Coturnix japonica: one gene and its partners. The protein of the gene in region 1 binds, or shares a complex with, the protein of each later gene. Links are inferred from orthologs where the notes say so. Each region holds a gene or a part of one and is shown in the gene's direction. Other genes may lie near its edges.

Region 1 (4,702 bases):
TCTACAGGGGTTTTTGGAGCCTCCAGTCTAATGTATATCTGCTCTGATTCCTTTCCCCAGAACCGCAGTGACCAGCAGTGTCAGTACCGGTGGCTGAGGGTGTTGAATCCAGACTTGGTTAAGGGCCCTTGGACCAAAGAGGAGGACCAAAAGGTAAGTCAGGCAAGGACAGGGTCTGAGCGTTGGACTTTGACTCTCTGTCAACAAAGTGGAGGTGTCAGACCTAGACAGCTTTCTATCTGTGTTACATCAAACACTTCCTGAGGAAGCTTATAACAATGCCCTTCTACCTTCTTACAGCAGAGCAGTTGCTGCCTATTTTCCCCTCTTTATGTCCTGTTCTGCCAGCCAACCTAGTCCTGATGCCCACTGCCATCATGGCCAAGCCAGACTCCAGCTTTTTGAAGCTGGATAGTTTTGCACTGCAAACAATCCAGATCCTTGAACGTGGGTATCTGTGGCCCATTTGTCTGCCCTAGGCAGTCAGTCTGCAATAGGAGTGTTAGTTATGGACCCTGTGAGCAAGATCTGTGGTGCACCTGCTACCTGCACCTTTCAGCTAAGCACTGCTGGAGAGGGTAAAAGTGCTCTTTTGGAGTCATCTGGCCTCCTCTCTGAGATATTGGCAGGATAAACACTGCGAGCAGCATGTTATGTTACATTGCTTTGTTGCATGGATTTATTTCAGGCCAGCCAGAAAAGATTCCCTACCTGGAAGCATTTGCACTGAGCTTTAGGCCAACATGTAAAGGCCCTAGGCGAAGAGGAAATTGCCAAGCAGATGGCTTTTAAGTGAATTTTGCTCATTTTTGCTTTGTGCTTGCACCACGTGTTGTGGCATTAGTGGGGCATGAAACTGCAGGTTGTGTCCTCACCAGGGGCTGTACCCTCTGCTGAAGGATGGCTGTGCCATGCTGTCCCAGCAGGCAGTAATATAGGCACGGTGAAAGCTCTTTTCATGCAGCCAGGTTCTTGGGAAGAGAGGAAGGCAGAGGAGCTTTGAAGCATGTGGTACCTGGTGCTTTGCTCTGACTTGTTCCTCACTGCATCTGCCTGTCTCTGTCCTAGTCTTATGTGAGCCATCATCTACATCCATAGGTGTCAAGTGGTAAAATGGCTGCATGAAAACTGCCTCTTCCAGGCTTTTGGTTGTATTGTTGCTCACGGAAATGTTTTTCACCTGTTGCTGACAGTGTCATGTGTCAGTGCTGGGACCCTCCAGTGTTTTTGACTTATTGGATCCTTCTTTGTCTTCTTGTACCCGGTCCCAACAAAGGTGAAATGCAAAGCAACACCTGTATTGATTGTCTCATTTCCTGATTTCCTTCCTGTTTTCTTCCAAGGTAATTGAACTTGTTAAAAAATATGGCACCAAACAATGGACTCTGATAGCCAAGCACCTGAAAGGACGCTTAGGGAAGCAGTGCCGGGAACGCTGGCATAACCACTTGAATCCTGAGGTTAAGAAATCCTCGTGGACAGAGGAGGAGGATCGCATCATTTTTGAGGCCCACAAGGTTCTGGGGAATCGCTGGGCTGAGATTGCCAAACTGCTGCCTGGGAGGTAGGATGGATGTCTTTGCTCACTGGTACCTTCAGAGCTGGGTGGCTTGTGGAGATCATGTGTTGGTCTCACAGGATGAGGCTGGGGAGCTCACAGGAATTGCTAGCTGTGCTTTAAGGCTGCTGATAATAATAACTTATTGTTTTCTTTTGCTTTCTCTGCAGGACTGACAATGCTGTGAAGAATCACTGGAACTCCACCATCAAGCGCAAAGTGGATACAGGAGGATTCCTCAATGAAACAAAGGAGTCCCAGCCACTGTACTTGCTAGTGGAAGTGGATGACAATGAGAGCCAAAGTGGAACAAGAGCTGGGAGCCAGGTACTGCACAAGTATGTGGGCTGTTGGGTCCATCTCTGCTCTGCTAACGTGCATCAGAGCTGGTCAGTCACCCTGCTACTGCCTCTAATGCTGTCTTTGCATTAACTCAGTTAAATAGTCCTCTTAATTTGTATGGGCTCCTTCAGGTGGTGTATGGGACAGAGCATTGAAGGAGAACAGGGATGTAGGATGGTCCAAATGGCTGTTAGGAAAGTTTTTAATGGGAATGGTTTTAAACTAAGACAGGGGAGGTTTAGGTTGGATATTAGGAGGAAGTTTTTCACCCAGGGGGTGGTGACGCACTGGAACAGGTTGCCCAAGGAGGCTGTGGATGCCCCATCTGTGGAGACATTCAAGGCCAGGCTGGATGTGACGCTGGGCAGCCTGGTCTGGTGGTTGATGACCCTGCATGCAGTAGGGGAGTTAAAACTGGATGATCATTGTGGTCATTTTTAACCCAGGCCATTCTGTGATTCCATGAAAGCGGGAGGAACGTGGTGGGCCCAAGGATCTGTGCTTGTGCCCTTGGACTTGATCTTCTTCACTTGGTTTCTGCTAATGGCTGCGCTTTCTTTCTTGTTTGTGTGAAGACCATTGTGCCAAACTGGCCGGTTGATATCTCTGAAATAAAGGAAGAGGATGTCAGCGATGAGGAGGTGACGGGTTTGCAGGAGTTACCCTCAGAGCTGCCAGCTGCCGACCTGGCTGAGCACAACGGGGAAGGAACCTCAGATGATGTGGTGCCTGAGGATGCCTCAGCATCTGTTGCATCTCCGTACAAGTGGGTCGTCGAAGCTGCCAATTATTTGTGTCCTACATCTGTCCCAGCATTAAATGAAGCTCTGGACATGATTGAATCTGTAAGTAGCACACCTTTGCTCCGCCAGCTAGTGGAGTGAGACTTATAGGACCTGATTTCCACCACTGTTCTGTTGAGTGAGCTCGCTGGGTCACCTTGCTTATCACCACAGGTATCCTGAGGAAAGTTGTATGGATTCCTTTAGTTTAGCCTCCAGATTAATTCATTTTCAGGACACTTTGCAGCCAAAAAGGGGAAATATCTTTGCAATCTGGTTTATGAGCTGATTATCTGTGAAATATTCACACCTGCAAAGAAGGACTTTGTGCCCAAGGCTTAATGTCCAATTTGTGCATCCTTAGAGGCCTGTTTGAATGGTACTTGTATTGATGGGGTTGAGCTGTGAATGGCTCTGGCTATTTTTCATCTGTTTACAGCAACCTGCTTTACAGAATAGCCCTGTGCCCACCCATTTTGGTGTGACCAAGTTTGGCAACAGTCACCTTTTTCATACTCTGTCCCTGGCCACTTCTCTTTTGCCCCCTGTGTTTGGGTGCAGCTGTGTGTTACAGCTGTGCTGTGAACTGAACTGGGAAACCAGCCTAGCGTAAAAACTGCCCTATGCACGAACAGCTTTCAGCTGGATCAGGCTTGTGGTCTGGTTCTCAACTGAGCTGACTGCAAAGGACAGAGAGCTTCAGTTATTCTGTAACCAGGCTCCTTGCAAAAAGCAGCGCAGTCTTGCACACCTGCTTTTTTCACCTCCCAGCTAACCTCTCTGTTTGCACCAGCCAGCTGCCCAGCTTTCTTTCCTGGGCTGGTTCTGATGGCTTCTCTTGTACGCAGGACCCAGATGGATGGTGTGACCTGACCCAATTTGACCTGCCTGAAGAACCCTCTGCAGGCAGCAGCAGCAGTAGTAACAGCCCAGTGCGGCAAACACCCAGCAAACCAACTCCATCCCTACCCAACGTGACTGAGTACCGCCTGGATGGCGACACCATCTCCGACCTGAGCAAGAGCAGCAAGGGGGAACTCATCCCTATTTCACCACATGCGGAGGTGAGCTTTGGCACGCCGCCCTCTGTGCTGAAGAGGCAGAAGAAGAGGAAAATCTCCCTATCCCCTGTCACGGAGAATGCCCCCAGCACCAGCCTCTCCTTCCTTGACTCCTGCAACAGCATGACGCCTAAGAGCACCCCTGTCAAGACACTGCCCTTCTCTCCATCTCAGGTACAGAACAGTGGTGCTGGCCAGCCTGGGCTCCTCCGCTTGGGTTTGTCTGTGAACTAGTAAGCAATGTCAATGCTTTGCCTTAATACTCTAATCTCATAATCTCTGCCACCTTTGTATTTCTTCTCTCTTGTATTAGGCAGTTCCAGTGCATAGGGTATGCATGTGTTTCTGGTAGAACAGGGTGCAGAGTTTGGTTCTGACGCTGCTTGTCTTCAGTGCAGCTCTTTCTGCGAGAGCAGCAGACTGTGATTCCCTCAGCTGGAGTGCTTGCAGCACAGGCCAAGCCCAGTTACCCTGTATGATGGATAAGGCCAAGTGCCTGCTATGAGGAGGGAGCACTGCTGTGCAGATCTGCACCTGCCTACTGCAGGAGAGAGCACAGTGCTTCCTTGTCCAGGGTGCTGTGTGTGGGCATTACTGGCAGGGGATAGCAGTGCTGTGACAGTGCATGTTGCTTTTCTTCCTTATTTTTAGCACTGTCATCTGTGTGGACAGCATCTGCTGGTGCACATCTGTGAGTTGATGGCACAGGGATGTACTCATGGGCCTTGTCTTTGTTATGTAAGCTTAGGTCTTTCCCATCTTTACTATGACTGTGGTAGCATCCATACCTGGTCTCACAACAAATGCCTTACTGCAGTGCTATGGCATTCAGACCCCTTGATTCCTATCTTGACACAGTGAAGTTCTGTCAGTAAGACAGGATAAATCCTGCTGCACTTCTGTGCCATCTAGCAAAACTTCTACAGCTTCTCTGTCATTCACACTCTGCCTCCCTGTGC
Region 2 (5,140 bases), on another chromosome or scaffold:
AGCTCCAACTCTAAGCTTTCTCCAGAAGCACACATACTTCCCCCTTTCATCGAGTGATTCAAGGAAATCACAGCATCCTCTTGCACACCGATTGTGGGTATATGAGCAGAAGCCATTTCACTTACAGGATTGTGGATATCAATCCATTCTGTGGTTTTGGACTCGACAAACTTCCCATCGATGAACAGTTTAGTTGTTGGCTGTGGAGGACAGCACAGTGAGTGATCTTTCCCTGAAAGTGCACACATAACAATGTGCCCTGTTATGTGCAGGCTTTTGCTATTTCCCACTGTACTCCATCATTTTTTTCCCCTTGATTTAGGCTAAAATTGTCAAAACCCCGTCTAAAAACTATTACAGAAGATACACATTGATAGAATCATGTTCAGAACTATTTTAATCTACTCAGTCACTACAATTGCTAAGTCATAAAAACCCTGCAGTTCACAGACATATTTAAAAGAAACCAGTTAATAATTCACTTGGTAAGAATTCTGCCCATTAGTTAAGGAGTTCAGGTAAGTATGGAGAAGAAAAAGCAGGGGTAGAAGATGCAGTTAGTGCTGCAACATGCAGGAAGAACTGGGGCCATATAAGTGAAGAGATTGGAATATAGTGCCAAAGGCTTTGCTGAAGTCTAGGTAGACTGTGCCAACAGCCTTTCCCTCATCCACCGGGCAGTTCACCTGGTGAGGGCAGGGATGCTAATGCTGCTGTGATGGTGGGAGAGGGATCAAAGGACGAATCAGGAAAATAAATGGGGCTGAGCCGGACAGGTCACGGCTGCGAAGAGTGTAATGGATAAGCGAGGCCTCGGCTTGTGAAGGAACGCGGCGGTGGGTTAAAATAAGAATAAGACATGACAAGTGCTGATGTGGCTGGCGTTACGGCGGGACGAGCCGTGCCGCGGGCTGCACTCGGGATAACACCATCTTCAGAACTGAAGGGAGAGCAGGAAATCCGAGCTGCTCCTCGGCCCGGCGGAGCCACCGCCGCGGGCCCCTCCAGCCCAACAGCAAACAGAGCTGCCCGGCCCCACTCACCACGGAGGAGGAGGAGACGGCGGCCGAAGCGATCCAGGGAGCCCCGGCTGTCCGCGGCAGCTGGATGTGGACACAGAGCAGCCCGGTTACACGGTGCTCCCCTCCTCCTCCACACCCCCCACCTCCTCCCCACCGCCCCCCGAGGTGCCACCCGCGGCCCCTCCCGCAGCGCTGTGTCCGTGTGCCGCCTCACCCTGAGCACCACGCGCCGCCCGCCCCAAGCGCCACGAGCCACCGCCGCCATCCCGGCCGAGGGTCACAGCGCTCGGACCCCGAGCGGAGCCCCCAGCACAGGGACCCGCCCCCGCCCGCTCATTGGCCAGACGAGCGCCCCCCCCGCCCGCTGTACGCCCCCCCCGAGGGGGCCTTGCCGGCCGCCAGCCAATCGCTGCCAGGGAGAGCGTCGCCCCGCCCCTTTCCCGCCACCGCCCCCCCATCCGGGGCAGCGATTGGCCACGAGCACTAAGGCGCTCGGGCTCTGTTGTCACGTGGGTGGATTCCCGCGGGCTGTGGGTTTAGGTCACGTGACGCAGGCAAGATGGCGGCTCCCGGTGACGGTAAGGCGCGCGAATGGGGTCATCGTCACCCTGCGGTACGGTCTGAGCGGGCGCCGCTTCACCTCCGTTCTACTCCCTGTGCTGTAGGTGCCGATCTGGAAGCCTCTCTGCTGAGCTTCGAGAAGCTCGACCGGGCTTCTCCGGACCTGTGGCCTGAGCAGTGTGAGTGAGTGCGGCGGGCCCGTGTCGCTGGGGTGATGGCGGGGCTGCCGGGCCGGCCCCGCGCTCACCCGGCGCTGTTCGGTTCTCTCTTGCAGTGCCCGGCGTCGCCGAGTTCGCCGCCTCCTTCAAAAGCGTAAGATGCCAACACCACGGCACTGCGGGTCATACAGGCACTGCGGGAGGGACGAGCTGCGCAGGAACGCGCTGCTCTAAGCCCTGGGGGTGCTGCTCTTACTGCTGGCTTTGGCTGTGACTTGCAGTAACACCCAACTCGTCCAGGAAGAGCTTTCTAGGCATTAGAGTAGCCCTGTAGGGTGCCTGGAGCCATCGCGTTTATTCTTTCAGTGTAACTGGTTGTAAATAGGTGACGGAGCACTGGAACAGGCTGCACAGGGAGGTGGTGGAGTCTCCTTCTTTGGAGATATTCAAGACCCGCCTGGACACCTACCTGTGTGACATGGTGTAGGGAGCCTGCTTTGGCAGGGGGGTTGGACTCGATGATCTCTAGAGGTCCCTTCCAACCCCTACAATTCTGTGTGTGTAAATGCTATATCAGGCTTTGTATGCAGCTAAAAATGTACTTCTCTGAGAATGTTTTGCTTTTTTTTCTTCCTTTCTTTTTGTTCTTTTTCTTTTTCCTCCCCCCCAAACCAGCCTATTACAAGCTCGCCTCCCAAATGGATGGCTGAACTGGAGAATGATGATATCGATATGTTAAAGGGTGAGTATGGGCTCCATGGGCACTGAGGCTGTCTGCGGGTGGGAATTCAGTGCCTACTAAAAAGATGAGCTCAGAGACCTTCTGAAGCCTTGTGGAAAGGAAGGGATGGGGGATGCTCCTCTTAATCTGCAGACCATCTTAACCTGCAGAACATCTCCAGTTGAATGATTCTGCTTAGGAGTCTTTGTCTTGTCAATTGCCTCTATCTTTAGTTGGTCCCACAAGAATATATACTGATAACAAAAATGCTGTTGTTCTCCTTGTTACTGCTTTTTGAAGCAGTAAATCCCTGCTGTTTATTTTTTCTTCATTTTTTTTGATTGCTTTGGAACAGTTAGAATGTCTTGCTGGTTATTATGAGTTGTGAGAGCTGAAGAACATATGCTGTACACTGTAAACCGATACTGTTCAAAGTATAACTTGAATGCTCTGTGAAGCGATAAACATAAGCTGCCACTAGAGGGCTACAGTGTTAAAAATCACGCTTTTTCCTTTTAGAGCTGGGAAGCCTCACTACAGCCAACCTGATGGAAAAGGTTCGTGGCCTGCAGAATTTGGCATATCAGCTGGGACTGGATGAATGTGAGTTCTGTGCACAGATGTGATGACTGTATTATGAATCTTGCCACTGAAGTGTGTGTTTATGTTGCACTTACAGTCAGAAAAGTACGTTTGCTGAAGTGGGGAATGTCACACAATTATGACAGTGCAATAGAGAATTTTCTGAAGAAAAAAAGAGTGCTGCTCTAAGCAAGTCTATCATGGATGCAGTGGAGCCTAATAGAGCACATTTAAAAGAATTTCTTATTTTAGGTCTTGTTTTCTGTTTTGAATGCTAAGGTCCAGTGTTTTCTAGTGGCCCATCAATTTCTGACTTAACTTTGGCTTAGGTAAATCACTCAGTTTGCTTCATTTACCGCTTAGGTGCTAACACTCTGTCACAGAGTATCTGTGCCACCACTTCTGTGACTGTGCGTTTGTGTACTGCCTACAGAGTGAAAATGTAACTGGTGTGCAGGATTCTGTTAGCCATTAGTGCTCTTGTAACTTTGGGCTTCTGCAGTTATTTATTTTCCATAGTCAGCTATAGCAGGAGGTGCTGTCACTGCATTCTAAAGTTGACCTTCATCCTGCTTACCAACAACCAATTTATGTCAGTGCCTTTTTTGAAGGGGGGTGGGGGTGGGAGTGGGGGTGGGGATGGGGGGAAGATGCGTTTTTTTTATTGTCATTGCATATAGGATTTTGTTGTTAATGTGCTGATCCGGCTTTGAAGATTCCAAAGGGATTGTGCTTCCTTTAAACAGTATCTGTGTGTACTGATGCATTTAACTTTTACTGCTTTATTTTGCTCTGTCTTAGACTTCAGTTTTAGCAAACTCTTGAGCTTTACATGAGGCTTTGAAAATTTTTAGGCTCAAAGATTTTTTTCAGCTTTATTTCAGTGGGTAACAAAAAGCAGTTGAACTTTGAAGTCTCGTGATTGTGAGCCTGGAATACATATTTCTTATCAATAGATCATTAAGCCTGTTTGAACACTCTCTCCATAGGTAGAAATTTACTTTCAGTGCCAACATCTACAAGGATTGAATAAAGCTTTTAGTGGAGTAGAAGTTATACTTTAACAATGGAAATCTTAATCAAATAATAAGATTGGCTGGTGGTTTGCTTTCTCGATTTATATAACGTCTCACTGTATTTGCAATTTATTTTCACCAAAGTCTATCTCTGTAACACATTGAGTGCTTTGTGTGTCATGACGTATACATGTATGTTAGGAAATCTTCCATATATAATTAAATGCTGAGTTTGACATGGGCTCTCAGCACTGTTTCTTCCAATACTGTCTTTTTCTCTTTGCAGACCTAGGTTATTAAGAGAACAAGAAGAAAAATCCCAAAGATCTGCTCATTAATATTAAAGAGCTTGTGCTTTTGTTTCAGTGGTATATAATTTGATTACATCTTTTTGTATTGAAACACAGTATTCTATATTTTACATAGTTGATAATCAAAACTGCTTATCAAAAACAGAATTAAGAAACCTTGCTGACCACCCTCCTCTAGATGGCATCATGAAGCTTCTGATAGAGGTCTTGATACTTTTAATTTTGTGCAGTTTGTCCTGATTTGTCTCAAGAGTTATTTTGACGCTTCTTGTGTTCTAAATTTGCACTGTCCTTTTGACACTATTTTCTTGTTTCCTCTGTATTGTGTGAAAACATTTCTGCTTTATTGTGTCAGTGTTTTATTTTTATTACTTTCCAGTGCCCGCTTCTACATTTCAATTCCTTTGGATTTTTAAAGGCTTCTGTTTTTGTCTGAATAACTGATAATAATGCTGTTCTGGACCACGATGATCCATCATAAATATACCTATTTAATGACTTTGTAATTATGTTGTGAGATCTGTTGTTGAACTAATTCATAGCACCCTTCATGTTAATTTTGTATTATGATTCATTGGGCTAAAGGAAGTGTGGGACTGGTACCTCTTAAAATTACATTTTGTCAAATCTGTTGCTCAGATTTCAGTTCAATTAATTTAATAATTACCTAATTATATGCCTTCTTAAAATCATATGAGCTGCTTTTCCAGTTTGCCTGGGTTCAATGGAAGGCTGATATACTCTTAAGCATTTGGGTTTTTCTACCAGT
Region 3 (5,204 bases), on another chromosome or scaffold:
CAGCAGCCTTGTGAAAATAAGGTAAGAACCATTTCTTGCCAGTCAGTGGGGCATGAAATAAGGATAGGTTTTTTAAACGTTCTTTTTGTTGTGTTTTTTCTCTCTTACCGTTCCAGACCCAGAGGTACAGGCAAAGATGTCGCTTCCTCTTCAGACAAACTGCAGGTCGGAGTATGTCAACCCAGAGGTTGGGCCACATTTTAGTTTGAGGTTTTACAGCGAGACGGACAAGTTGAGCTCATTCTTCAGGAGAAATGTGGGCTGTGGGGGTTATGGGTGTGTGTTGATATTACAGCATGGGTTGTGGGCTCACAAAGCATTGAAATGAGCAAACAGTGCAAAGTAACGTGTTATGAAAAGGAAAAGGGGAGATGATCTGGAAAGTATCAACCAGATGGGGAACACGGTGTTGTGCTGAGCCACCAACCAGAGAGCAGCGTCAGAGCTTCCGAAGTGTGGGTCTTACTGCAGGAAATCACTGACTCCCTGCAGAGCTAAGGAACCTGTTACAGCAGTGTTCAGTGTGGATCTCCTTCTGAGACTGAGTTTGGGCTGTGTCTAAGTTCTGAGGAGTAACAGGTTGGTTTAGAACCATGCACAAGTGGTGCTTACTGCAAACTGACCATTTCAGCATCTCCAAGCTGAGCAGTGTGTGCATACAAAGGCAGCTCGTTCTGCAGGCACTGAAAGCCAATGCCAGCTACAGCAGTCACCGTCCATCTCCTTTCCACAATGGTTAAATGCCTTTTTCTTGTAATCACAGCATCTGACATAACTTTGTAAGCACTGCATAAAAATAACCAAATGAACTAGAAAGAAGTTTTAAAGACACACATGACTTTTTATTGAGGCAGTATTTGAGTTCAGATCTGGGTTTAGCACATGGAACTTAGGAGGACTGCAGGAAACCAGGCACTCTGCCTGGCTTCTGTTCTGCTGCCTTCCTTTCCCGCAGCACGGCCTGCTGCGTTGCACGGCCTGCTGTGTTGACTGTGAGCTGCTTGGGGCCTTGGCAGCTATGTGAGGGAATGCTCCATTTTGCATATGGTTTATTAATGCTTTCGTTTAAGCTTCTTACGTAACTGCAGGTATTGATAAAGGTCTTGTTACGTGTGACTGTTTCGTAGGGAATGATAAAGAACAGAAAGCGCACGGTCAGCACATTCCTGGGCCTGTGATTAATAACCGCCTGTGAGCCGTCCCACGGCAATAACCATCCGGCTCTCGCTCCTTAGCTCAGGACCCTGTTCTGGTGCCGATGGCTGTTCCCTGCCGTCCCTGTCCATCAGTAACACCCAGCTGTGCTGTGTTTCCCTGCACTCCGTTCCGCTCCCCGCCCCGCTCGCTCCGTCCCGTTCCCGCCGTGTCGCGGCTCCACACGCATCTGAGGCGCCGCCTGGGAAGAGGCGCCCCGCCCTTCCGCCCCGCCCCCTCTCGCAGCGGCCTCCTCGGATTGGCTGGCGGCGTGTGTACACACACCAGGCGCGGCCAATGGTGCGCCGAGGGCGCCCGACCTCGCGCGAGGCGGCGGCCAATGGGAGCGGCCGGCCGGCAGACGCCGCCAAGCTTGTGCGGGGGAGAAGGAGCCGGGCAGAGCGCGGCGGGATCGGGCCGGAGCAGCCGCGCAGCGATCGCGGCGCCACGGAGCGGGACTCGCGGCCTGTCCCTGCCGGGCCGAGCTGCGGGGCTCCTCGCCAGGCGGCGGCGTGTGGAGCGGAACCGCGGCCGGTAAGTGAGCGGACGGCGCGTCTCGGCGCCTCAGCGTCGCCGCCCGGGTCCGGTGGCGCTGCCGCGTTCGTTCCCTTCTCCCGCCCGGGCCTGAGAGACACGCGTCGGGATCCCGCCGGGACAGCAGCGCCTTCATTCGGGCCGGGGATTGCGCTTCAAACGCGCCTCGAGAAGGACAGGGCCTGCACCGCACCACGGCCTGGGTGTGACTGCGTGAGGCGGGGTGTGTGAGTGTGTGTGTGTGTGTGTGTCTGTGCCGGTGCGGCCGCTGACCTGACACCTGCGTTGGCCGCGCGCTCTCCCGGCTGTGTTTGGGGCTCCGCCGGTACGTGACACGGCGCAGGGTGCCGCGGGGCCTCTCGGTGACGGGCCGGTGTGAGCGGCCGGGCCGCGGTGCCGATGGCGGCGGGGCGGAGTGGGGGGGTTGTTGTGGGGGGTCGTTGTGGTGCGCGCGGTGCCCGGGGACGCGCCGAGGCCGCCACGACAAAAGTTGGAAGCGCCGCTCGCCGCGCCCCGCCGGATCAGGGCTGAGGGCTGAGGGCTCAGGGCCTGCCCTGCACGCCGTAGGCCGCACGGGCTTCAAGGCGGAGGCGAATGGCGGGGTGAGTGCGGCGGATCGGATCCGGGTGTGCAGACAAAGGGAAGAAAACAGCTCGTAAGGGAGCTAACTCCGAACGGGGGAGAAAACCGCAGCGCGGGGCTGGCAACGGGCTGCGGAGCGCCGTGCTGTGCCGTGCATTACTGTGCTGTGTATTGCTGTGCTGTGCCGTGCCGTGCATTGCTGTGCCGTGCATTGCTGTGCCGTGCATTGCTGTGCCGTGCATTGCTGTGCCGTGCATTGCTGTGCCGTGCATTACTGTGCTGTGTATTGCTGTGCTGTGCCGTGCCGTGCATTGCTGTGCCGTGCATTGCTGTGCCGTGCATTACTGTGCTGTGTATTGCTGTGCTGTGCCGTGCCGTGCCGTGCTGTGCCGTGCCGTGCCGTGCATTGCTGCGTCGTGCATTGCTGTGCCGTGCCGTGCATTGCTGCGTCGTGCATTGCTGTGCTTTGCCGTTCCGTTCCGTTCCGTGCCGCCCTCACGTGCTGCTCCGCTCCTTGTGCCTCCTGCCCCGCCGTGCTGTGAGCGGACACAAAGCGGGTGGTCGCGTCTGTGCGGAGCGGCGCCCACTGACTTGCTCACTCTTCAACACGGCGGGTGGGAAATTCAGATGCGATGGTTACGCGACCGGTGTTTTTATTTTGGAAATGGGTTCGGTTATTTTCACGGGTCTTTGTTAATATTCCTCGCTGTTGGTTTCTTTCAGCTGCACAGTTGTACTGTAAGGCAGTAGAAATGAGGTCAGAACCAGAGCTGCTTTTGTGGTACTGTACACATCTACTGCACACATCTCGACTAGATGTGATCTTGTATTAAAAAAAAGCCAGAACATATACATAGAGAGAGGCAGAGACTGTATAAATTGATGCTACTAGAAGAGAAACGAGTAACAGCTTTGCCATTTCTTTGCCTGCATTAAGGCTTGTTTTCCTGATTGTAGCACTTTTTACCTTGTCCATGAGTGCAGTGATGTGCTCACACGGGGCAGACCCGTGGCTGCTGCTGGAGCACAGAGGTGGAACAGCATCTCGGGACGTTTTTGCTGGTGCTCTGTATTGCATGGAGGCATTTTTGTACATAGCCAAATTCTGCATTTTGAGAGCCTGTGTTTGCAGTAACCTGCTGGGCACCTGATGCAGCACTTCAAAGAAACGTGGAAGCTTAAGTTCACGTCGCAGAAATGAACATACATCAAATAAATGGTGAGGAGAGGGAGAAAAAGCATAAATTCTTGTTGGGAAATGGTTGTGCAGTGAGCCTGGTGCCTCTGGAAGAGCTAAGAGTAATGGCTCTGAGAATGGTTCAGTTCTGTACAGAGGAAAAGGTGGTTAATTGTTAGATATTGGTAGGTTTACCTCATGGCTGTGTGTTAGACTGATCACATTTTACAGACAAGCTGTTGGGGCTTCTTGTAACCGCTTCCTGCTTGCACAGAAATCACTGTGCTAACAGAACCAAAAGAAGCTGTTTGACCTGCGTGAGGTTGATAGAATTAGCGTTGCTGAAATCATACGGCACTGATGGGAAGGCCGCTGTTCCTCTAGTGGGTTCCAGTGGGTCGGCTCACTTCACAGAGTGGTGAGGCTGTGCCTTGTGTGCAGCAGCTCAGCACAGCTCTGCCATGTGAAGGAGCAGGCTGAGCAGCACAGCAGGGCTGTTCCTGCTGCAGGAGGACTCCTGGTTTGTTCCTGTTCTTGTGTGTATTGGACAGTATTGCAGGAGCCTCCTATACATCTGGAGCTGCCTGTGAGCAACCACCAAGTGAAGATAAGGCTTTGTATTTTAGCACCTTCCACTGGGTTTAGCAAGAAGTAGGAACTGTGGTTCCAGCTTTCCATCCCCTTCAGGAACACGTGATGTTGGTCATTTGAAGTCAGCAAAACTCGCTGTGCGTTGGGGAGAGCATGGTGCTCATCTCTGAAATGAGCTGACCGGGTCAGGGGAGGGAAACTGCAGCCCGTACCGGGCAGGTTCAGTAAGCTGAGGTTTCTTTCTTTGTGTGCTTTTTCTGCACATACTTGGAGGTGTAACGAGTAAGAATTTCTCATTTACTTTTCCAATTGTATTCGTAGGACACAACTACTAATGAACCAACAGCGGGTTGTAAAATAGGGAAAATAAGCTGGCAGTTGTCTGGCCTGGTGCAGGAAATGTGCTTGTGGAGGTGGTTGTGTGTACAGAACCAAAAAGCCACTGGAGCCAATGAGACAGGCTCACAATTGACAGGTGTTCAGAGGAGAGCAATGCACAGAACCAGTGTGCATAGGACATGGAAACCAATGGTGTGAATGTCTGTTGTGGGGCTTGAAGAACTCAGCACATGCTTCTGTATGCTTGGAAGCAGTGCAGAAAGGAGCAGATACAGCAGTGGAATGTTGGTTTTACAACAGCTGCCTGTTCTGATTCTTTGTCTTTTTGTAGCATCCATTGTTAGAATGAGAGCCGCTTGATTTTTCCTGTGTTTCTGGATTTATAGCAGCTCTTCTGCAGGTTTTGTTATCTTACACTAATGGCTCAGTGTTTTTTCTCTCAGAAGTCAGGCCGTGCTCCTCTGTTTGAAAAGTCGTGTTTCTCCACTTCCCTCCAGCTGCTGCTGGCAGGTTGGTCCCCGTGGGGACACCCGTGAGCTGGAATGGTCTCCCAGGTAAAGAACCCTTCCCATGTGAGCAGAAGCTGTAATTACTGGGCACAGTTCTAACTGGCCTATATTACAAGAGCACTAATGTGACCAACAGTTGTGTGTAAGGTTAGGAACTGCATTTTAAAGTGAGCTACGTCCCTGAGTGAATTCTGAAATGCTGTGGGGGGTTCTCCATATGTTGGAAGGAACGAGGCAACTTTTCCCCTAAGTATCAACCTGAGCCTGAGAAACCTGAG

The links.
Region 2: the proteins of MYBL2 (region 1) and LIN52 are in contact, whole or in part, in a crystal structure (PDB 6C48), measured with the Homo sapiens proteins. The link is inferred for Coturnix japonica from reciprocal best matches to the Homo sapiens genes MYBL2 and LIN52. Residues at the interface, in NP_002457.1 of Homo sapiens: Trp663, Val666, Ala667, Gly669, Thr671, Asp673, Gln674, Phe676, Lys680, Ala681, Gln683, Leu684; in NP_001019845.2 of Homo sapiens: Gln84, Ala87, Tyr88, Gly91, Leu92, Glu94, Ser95, Met98, Thr99, Lys102, Phe103, Leu107, Glu108, Lys109.
Region 3: MYBL2 (region 1) and TFDP2 share a complex: the UniProt entries of both Homo sapiens proteins name them as parts of the DREAM complex. The link is inferred for Coturnix japonica from reciprocal best matches to the Homo sapiens genes MYBL2 and TFDP2.

The regions. Positions count from the first base shown.
Region 1 is NC_029535.1:3,100,843-3,105,544, reverse strand, and holds part of MYBL2 (myb-related protein B), read left to right. Parts: intron 1-60; coding exon 61-153; intron 154-1,343; coding exon 1,344-1,564; intron 1,565-1,728; coding exon 1,729-1,885; intron 1,886-2,475; coding exon 2,476-2,745; intron 2,746-3,530; coding exon 3,531-3,917; intron 3,918-4,702. UniProt on the Homo sapiens protein: Transcription factor involved in the regulation of cell survival, proliferation, and differentiation. Transactivates the expression of the CLU gene.
Region 2 is NC_029520.1:34,236,765-34,241,904, forward strand, and holds the start of LIN52 (protein lin-52 homolog), read left to right. Parts: upstream 1-1,489; 5' UTR 1,490-1,581; coding exon 1,582-1,600; intron 1,601-1,687; coding exon 1,688-1,762; intron 1,763-1,857; coding exon 1,858-1,895; intron 1,896-2,416; coding exon 2,417-2,483; intron 2,484-2,981; coding exon 2,982-3,065; intron 3,066-4,346; coding exon of another isoform or gene 4,347-4,360; exon of another isoform or gene 4,361-4,877; intron 4,878-5,140. Other genes in the region: ALDH6A1 (methylmalonate-semialdehyde dehydrogenase [acylating], mitochondrial), read right to left, coding at 126-200, 1,044-1,103, 1,237-1,287.
Region 3 is NC_029524.1:8,784,903-8,790,106, reverse strand, and holds the start of TFDP2 (transcription factor Dp-2), read left to right. Parts: upstream 1-1,553; 5' UTR 1,554-1,728; intron 1,729-4,885; exon of another isoform or gene 4,886-4,971; intron 4,972-5,204. UniProt on the Homo sapiens protein: Can stimulate E2F-dependent transcription.